2 linked regions of the Arabidopsis thaliana genome follow. The protein of the gene in region 2 interacts with the protein of the main gene of each other region in a pairwise test. Each region holds a gene or a part of one and is shown on either strand. Other genes may lie near its edges. The genes, in order: PUP8 and AT3G10120.

Region 1 (4,463 bases), on a different chromosome or scaffold from region 2:
TGAAAAATTAACACTCATGTTTATTATATCTCATGAAAAAATGAATTCAAGGATCTAACTTTATCAGGTGCTTCTTCTTACCATTGGCATAGTGTTCTTGAGATCTGTCCATGAGAAAGAAGATTGTTTCTTGTTTTTATTGATTGGTTTTGTTTGAGATGTCGTGCAGATACACAAGAGGCCTTTCTTTAAACACACATTGATGGTATTACAAAAAAACATCTAAATACCCTACACAAGTTGCATTATCAAACATGGCAGGCTTTTAGTAAATCGTATTATATGGATGGGGCAGGCGATAGATGACAGTAGCAGTATCATTATTTAGTAGTCTCATGTTGACCGGTGACTTTTCTTATTTGCTTACACTTGACTTGTGGAATTCTTGAAACTTTTGAATGGCGGCTCTACGAGAATTTTTTTTATTTTCTCAGTGTCTACTGACGTTTAATCAGAAGTCAACAAAGATACAAGAATCCAAGCTCCTGGAGTATACGTTTTTGGTATTTTAAGGAGTCTTTTTACAAGGCACTGTTCAAGTCACTACATTGGTTATTTGTTATGTCAGTGGCTTCCAGGTAAGTGGGTATTATTTTTGTTCACTTGTTTCTTTTTTTTTGTTCAAAGCTCTGGTTTTCCAAGGATGCTTTAGCCTATTTGCCTCTCTGCTATCGATGTTTGCTCTTGTTTTTTGGTGATTCAAATGCATTGCAAAATGACAAAGCAGAGTATTGCATTTGCATCTTTAAGTTATGGGTATCTCCGGTATATAGAAGTAAAAAAGATCCGAACTATTGGTATCTTATGTACAAAACTTATCAGTTACTTATGATTGACTAGAGATACACGTTTTTATATCTATGCTCAAACTGTACAAAGATACATTGGCTTTACACTGGAAATATGTTTTGATCATACACTATGTATGTTTGTGTGACCTTCCTCAGCAGGTAGTAGATGAGGATCTCCTACAGGACTTGTGTGGCTAGTCTTCAACTTCTTTTCGTCGAGGTAGTGCTGATAGACAAATGAAATGAATCCCCAGATAGCTAAAATGATGGAGAAGATCTTTGACGCGTTCATTTTATCATGGAAAACAATCACTGCTACAACTGGAACTATAGGCAATCCCACAGCAGTTATGGAATTGGAGAACACAGAAGATGACTCAAAGATCAGTCCCACGACGCCAATGGTGTAGACTTGCCAGGAAATAGCTATCGAGGCCAAAGTCATAACGTATGGCACTTTCCCCAGTTTGTAGTTTTCCATCTCACTTGTTAAAGTTTTCCACTCCCCGCTTGCGAAAAGTCCTATGAGAACCACACAGCTTGCAACTAGAGATTGGTAAGCGACCAAGTCAGTGACCGTTGAGAATGTTTGCTTCTTTAAAACCTTCCTGAGGATCAGTTGTACCAGGGATAGCAGCAATCCAATCCCAGCAGAAGCACCAATGGTACATATTATCCCTATCACATATTTTACTCTAGACACTTTTGCTGTGTTTTCCGAATCAGTGTTGACCACGAGGAGGGCAGAGGAAATAGTAAGGAGAAACAGAGAATTCACAATGAAAGGTGTGAACTTCTGCGAGTTTAGAAAATATGAGAAGAAGGCAGTGAAGGCCAATTGTGAGGCCAAGATGAGGGAGAAAGTAGAAACTGGTAAGTATAGTAAACCAACAGAGGACATATAAGAGTTAGCAGACACTAATAGTCCAGTAACGATGTAAACTGATCCAAGAATGGTGAAGGAAGAGAACTTTCTGAAATCTGCTTCTGTTGGTTTGGGATTTTTGGTTTGGGAAAAGAAGCGGAAGAGAAACAGAACAGGGAAGCCGATTAGTTGGACAAGTGTTCCCATCCATGTACTCTTCCCACCATTTTCATAGTAAACTCTGCCCAAAATTGTAGAAAGTGCTTGGCAAGCAAGGACAAAGAACACGTAAATGGAAATACGAAGCCATTTCTTATAGTTCTTCGATTGAGGTACGGACGAAGATTCGATTTCCATGGTGGTATTCATTTCCTCCTGACCTGTTAGGTTTGCTTCTATGTTGTTATGATCTGAAAACATCAAAAACAACAGGTTAGCGAAAAGAATCAAGTAATCTACACTACGAGATGCATCTTGCTTACCATTGACATAGATTACTTGAGTTATTTCCATGACCACTCTAAGAGGACTTCCCACAAACAGAGTTTTGGTAAAGCTTTTATATATATGAAGGTTGGTGGGAACAAGTGCATCATATTTCTGTAAAGATGTTTACCGTTGACTTTGAATTATTGAAACCTTTTAATTGGCGGTTTTAAGAAAACTTCTTATACACAACGTTGTTAAAGTAGGCTGAGTTTGGTGAAAACAGATATATAGACGCTTGATATTGTTGTATCTTATTCTAATCTTATTGGCTCAAGTGTCCGTCCACTTGAAAAAAAAAAATTATTACTTGTTTTTGTTATGTTAGTAATCTATTTTGTGGATTTGGAAGTCAACAACGATACAACAAGACGGGAAGGCCATAAGTACACTTGACTTGGATTCAGAAGTCAACAAAGATACATGAAGACTGTGAGACCTTGAGACACTTACCAATTTTATTTGTAGTGCCTACAATATATATAACTCATTTTTATTTTAGATTAAACTGGTTCAAATTACAAAAGCTTTTGGTTTTCTTGGATCTTTGCCTAAGCTTGGACATGAATGGTATCTACTTGTTTTTGTTCTTCTTCTTCTTTAGACTGAGGAAGCTCTTGGTCTTCTTCTGGCTTTCTATCATTGACATAATGCTGATAACCATAAGAAACAAATCCCCAGATGGCCAAAAACATTGCAACCAACTTGATTCCACTCATCTCATCACGGAAGAAGACAACAGCAAGAACAGGCACAACTGGTAAACAAAGAGTGCTTATGACATTGGAAAAAAGCGATGAAACTTCGATAATCAAACCAACACTTCCAATCAAACAAGCTTGCCATGATATCGTTGAACCGATGTTTATCAAAATGTATGAGCTTTTCCCTAGTTGAAACTCTTCCATTTCTGTACTCAGCTTTTTCCACCCACCACTTCCAAAAAGTCCTACCACAACTACACAAGTAGCTACCATAGACGGATATGTGGCCATGTCTAAAATAGCCTTGAATGTGTATTTCTTTAGAATCTTTTCGAACGCGTAATCTGTTAAAGAAAGCACCAGAGAATAACCAGCTGAGCTACCGACCGCGCAGATGTATCCAATCACATACTTGGACTTGGCTGCGGACTTTGAAGTAGAAGAGGGAGATTCTGGTTCATGTTGGATAACAAGAAGTGTAGAAGATATGGTTAAGAGAACAAGTGAATTGAGTATAAATGGTGTGATTTTTTGTGAGTTTAGGAAGTAAGAGAAGACGGCGTTAAAAGCCAATTGCGACGCAGAGATCAAAGAGAAAGTTGAGACAGGAAGGTAAAGTAGCCCAAATGAGTACAAAATACAATGTCCAGCAACAAGCAAGCCAAGTCCAATATACACTAAAGATAGTGTCAAGAAGGAAGAAGTAGTTTTTTTGGTAATGGTTTTAGTCTTGGACGGCTCAGGCTTTAAGTAATAATAGCAAGGAAGGGTTAAAGGAAACCCTACAAGCTGAACCAAGGTTTCGAGCCATGTGCTTTTACCGCCTTTTTCGTAGTAAAGTCTACCTAAGAGAGTGGCTATTGTCTCTCCAGCTAAGAGGAGAGTGACATAGAGAGACACTCTTAACCTCCAAGAGTACTTGTGACTTCTCTCTTCTGTTGAAAATTTCCCTTCAGGTTCTACCATCAACACATGAAACAGAACAAGAACATAAGTAAAAGAAGAAGAACACAAGAATCTCTACGCCGGAATTTCTGTTACAATACTTACCGCCATTTACGTGAAGATGGAGTTCTTGAGTTTCTGATTCTAGTTCCATCATAGAAACCTGAAGGAGAAATATGTCAGGGAACAAATAAAGATGGTGTTGCTTACTTATATAACAGGCAAATGCGTATGCATATATTATTCTTTAATAAATAAAGTTAGTATTAGTTTACATTAAGATTTCAGTTTTTAAAATTATAAGTACTACATATATCGTTATAATTTGTCCTACTAACCATTTCCCGTGAATTGTTAAATGGCACTCTTGGAATGAATCATCTCCTCCATTTTTGTAGGATCCTATCTTTAAACGAACCAAATTTTATTACCAACCAGAATTTTCTTGCCATATTTTATATTTAGCCAAAACAAATCCTTAGGGTACTAGCAAGTTATCTATAGACAAAAGTATCAAACTTACCAACCAGTATTATCAACCGTTAAACACGAACCAAATTTAAATTTTTATTACCAACCAGTTTTTTCTTGTCATATTTCTTTTATTATTTAGCCAAAAATATTCCTTAGCGTAGTAGCACTTTATCTATAGACAACAAAAGTAGCAAACTT
Region 2 (3,644 bases):
CGCCTTCTCAGGTAAAGATACTTGATTTCACTTCCATGTGTGACGAGACTCTAGTTTGAATTATCATAAATATCATTTCAAACTAGTTCCAGTTTTATATGCCTGTTTTCTCATGATTGCAAACATTGAAAACAAGTGTTTTTCTCTCGATGCTCATGAATGTGTGATATAGAGTACCTAACCTTGACATTTCAAAACACAAAATGTTCAGTACATGTTCATCATTGTTCCGAGAAGTTTTATCTTTTCATTAAAATGTTCAGTGCTCGTGAAGCATCTAACATAATCAGATTGTTATTGTTACCGATGAACAAAATCAACTTTGTTTCAGGCTATGTTACCGATGAAGAGATTGAGAGACGGGAGAGAGAACTAAGGAGAGCTCTTCAAAATGACAAGAAGTTCCGAGTGAGAGATGGAGTATCATTTGAAGTTGCACAGGTTAATCAACATTCATAAATGGCTAAATGGATTGTCTTAGACTCTCTACTGATACTAATTAATGAATTCATTTCCTGCAGTATAATCCACCATTCACTCTCCCGTTTATGCGCCGCAACGAGGTCTCTCTCGAAGTTGAAAACAAAGAAGATTAGCCCCATCACAAGTCATACATACATGTATATATTATATGTATACACAGTTAAATACTTGTGCTAAAGACAAAACGCGTTTACTTGAATAGTTGAAAATGAGTAGTAATTACTGGTCCTGGAAGCCATTTTCTTCACCCACCATTATGATGCATCTTTACTTCGCTTATAGCCCACTAGAGATGCCTACTATAGGCTTTGAAATTAACCCAAAGAAGCACTCAGGACCTTTTAACTTTTGGAAAATTCCGTCCTAACAAGTTTACATTTTTGGGGTTTAGTACAAATTTTTAAACTTTCTACAAAAAGGGTTTCATGTACTACCAACCCTTGGAACAGTATTTCTGGGAATTACAAGTTTTCTTCTTTTCTCTTGAACAAGCTTGTGTTATCTATCTATGTATATAAGTATATGTCACATATATATCTAGATATAACATCCCATGGGCTAATCAGTTTCAGGAATGCTATCTAACAAAGGTCTCCAGCCTTCTTTATGACACTCATCATCATCATCACACAGATGTTGCTTAGCAAGAGTCCTATAAACCATTTCATGAACAGAACCTCCTTGAAGCAGCTTCTCCAGCTCTTGCTTACTCACAACCATCTTCACTCTCACAACACCATTAGTCTTCTCCTTGGTGTTGTCACAACAATCTGTTAATCTATCTTCTTCTTGTTCTTCTTTTTCCACCTCTGGATTTGCAAACCTGACTTTCTTCATCGTCTTCTTCATGTGCTTGATTGAGTTAGTCTCCTGGGGCAATAGATAGTAGAGACGGCCACAGAGAAGCTTGGCTTGGGGATGAAGATGACAATTGTTGGTGAGAGAGTCAAAGAGAGAGTAGTGAGGAGAGAATTGGGTGAGGATGTGATGAACCTTCATAGGTCCTCTGTATTCAACTACTTTCCCATCATTTCTCATTATCTTTATCACTTTCTTCTCCATTACTAAACAGTTCCCCATACTTTTTGTTTGTTTGTTTGTTTTTTTCTAACTTTAGTTTGTGCTTTCTTCTGTATATGTGTTTAGAGATTTTTTTGTTTCTTGAGTTTTGGAGATTTGTGGTTGCATATTTATAGAACTTAAGGTTATGTGAATGCCCCTGCGTTTCGGGAATATTACGAGAAATGCCATTCTATCAAATGCTCCCCTAAATGATCTTTATCTCATTTTTTTTCATTAAAAGTGTTTATATGTCGTGGTGGGGTGTGGTCGGGTGGTGCTCTCCTAATTATGTTTTTAAAAAAATTGGATCTCCTAAACTAATTTCGATTTTTTCACATTAAAAAAAAACGAATTTCGATATTTTCACATAAAGATCTCGGAATAGTTGTGTAGACTTGTAGTGGTAGTGGTATAAAGGTGGTAGATGTGATTAGTGTGATCAGAATATATCAAGTTAAAAGATTTGATAGTAAGTTAAAATGGTAGGAAAAGTTATCTAATTACAAATAAAATTGTTTGAAATAGTTAAAATTTAGTTTGGCTGAATTATGTGTCTGAATATCCCCAAAGAATGGAAGTGCATGTCGTGCATCACCGTTGCATCCAATGTATGTTTATGACTTATGAGTTATGTCTTTTTTAAAAAAGAATTTCTACCTATATTCTTGTAGGAGTATATGATTATGTAGGTGGTACAAGATATTCAAATTGATTAGATTAAAACTAAGTGTATCACCAAACTCTTCAACAATACATTGTTTAACGACTCCCGATGTTCTTGTTGGGAGGATATATCTTGGTCTATTGAAGATTTGAGCTACAGTAGTGTCATTTTAAAATTAGTTGAATGAATGATTCATTTCAAATCGTTTTAAATAATAAGGATGGAGGTATGCACTTTCTTTAGCCTTAAAATTGAATATCCAAGTTGTTTCACTAATGATTCATTTCAAGTCGGTTACATTTATAAGAATGCAGGTCACATAATATCTCTTCGTTTGTTAAAAGAATCAAAAATTAAGATTAATTTTACGAACACTCATTTGTCGCATCGATAGAGTTAAAATCCAAAATACGTTATGTTTATAAAAAGATTGATTTAAGCATTTTATCTTCTTCTTCTTTTTTTTTGGACAAGATTCAAGCAATTATATCTATCATTTTAACTAACAAGCATATAGTTAAAATTGAATTAATATTTTATTGGATTTGTTAGACGAATTAACATTTTGTGTGTAATTGCATTACACCAACCATCTTTATACTTTAGTAGACATCTAACCACACTAGTTTCAACTGTTACAAACCATTCACGATCTAAAAATAGTATTAAGTTTACGAAAAAAATCTATATATTGACCAAAAAGAAAAGGATTGTAGCGGAGGCTTGCCTACATCATAAGGTGGAGCCACTAGGAGGACCACAAAAGGAGTCCAAATGACTTTTGATAAGTGGATGTCACCTCCAATTCGAACCACAACTTGATTTCTATAATCATTCTTACATTGAATATTTCCCCTTTCTCTTTAATCGCTAACATGCGCCCGCAAGTCTCACTTTCCTATACCATTGTTTTGTTAGTTGGAACTCCACAAAACCCAATTTCATTGTACTTCTTTAATTCACTCGTTTGATACTTTTCACTATACGACATGTTATCATTATGTTTTGTTAAAATGATTAGTAATAACGCATTACCTTATAGTCTTATAGATAAATTCACTGGCCTAGAGATTTGCATTACAATACCCTCATTTGTTTGCATTTACTTAAGTTTCCTAATTTTTGTGGTTTTGAATTGTTGCTCAAAGCTTATGAAGCAGAAACTGAATTTACATATGCCACTTCAAATTATGCTTAGGTGTCGGTTTATCTTCGTTTGTTTTAGTCTCTCGTTTCTAGATAACTCTAATGTCGGATATCATCAACAATTCAACATGCATGGAGTTGATTCTAACACCATTTGAAACGAATCTAGCTTATAATAAGTCAAACCAAGCGCACAAGATCGACAAGTAATTAAGCTTATCCAAAATTTAGTTTTCATAGCGTGGGTATCAATCCTACTAAATTCCAAGAGAGAAAACAAACAAACTTA

Evidence for each region.
Region 1: the proteins of AT3G10120 (region 2) and PUP8 interact in a protein complementation assay, tested with the Arabidopsis thaliana proteins (one large-scale study listed by BioGRID).

What each region holds. Positions count from the first base shown.
Region 1 is NC_003075.7:10,067,424-10,071,886, reverse strand, and holds PUP8 (purine permease 8), read right to left. Parts: upstream 2,430-4,463; 5' UTR 2,170-2,429; coding exon 2,139-2,169; intron 2,067-2,138; coding exon 913-2,066; 3' UTR 772-912; downstream 1-771. Other genes in the region: PUP7 (purine permease 7), read right to left, coding at 82-112; PUP6 (purine permease 6), read right to left, coding at 2,694-3,805, 3,897-3,948.
Region 2 is NC_003074.8:3,128,074-3,131,717, reverse strand, and holds AT3G10120 (uncharacterized protein), read right to left. Parts: upstream 1,647-3,644; 5' UTR 1,564-1,646; coding exon 1,042-1,563; 3' UTR 827-1,041; downstream 1-826. Other genes in the region: AT3G10130 (SOUL heme-binding family protein), read left to right, coding at 1-11, 332-441, 522-596.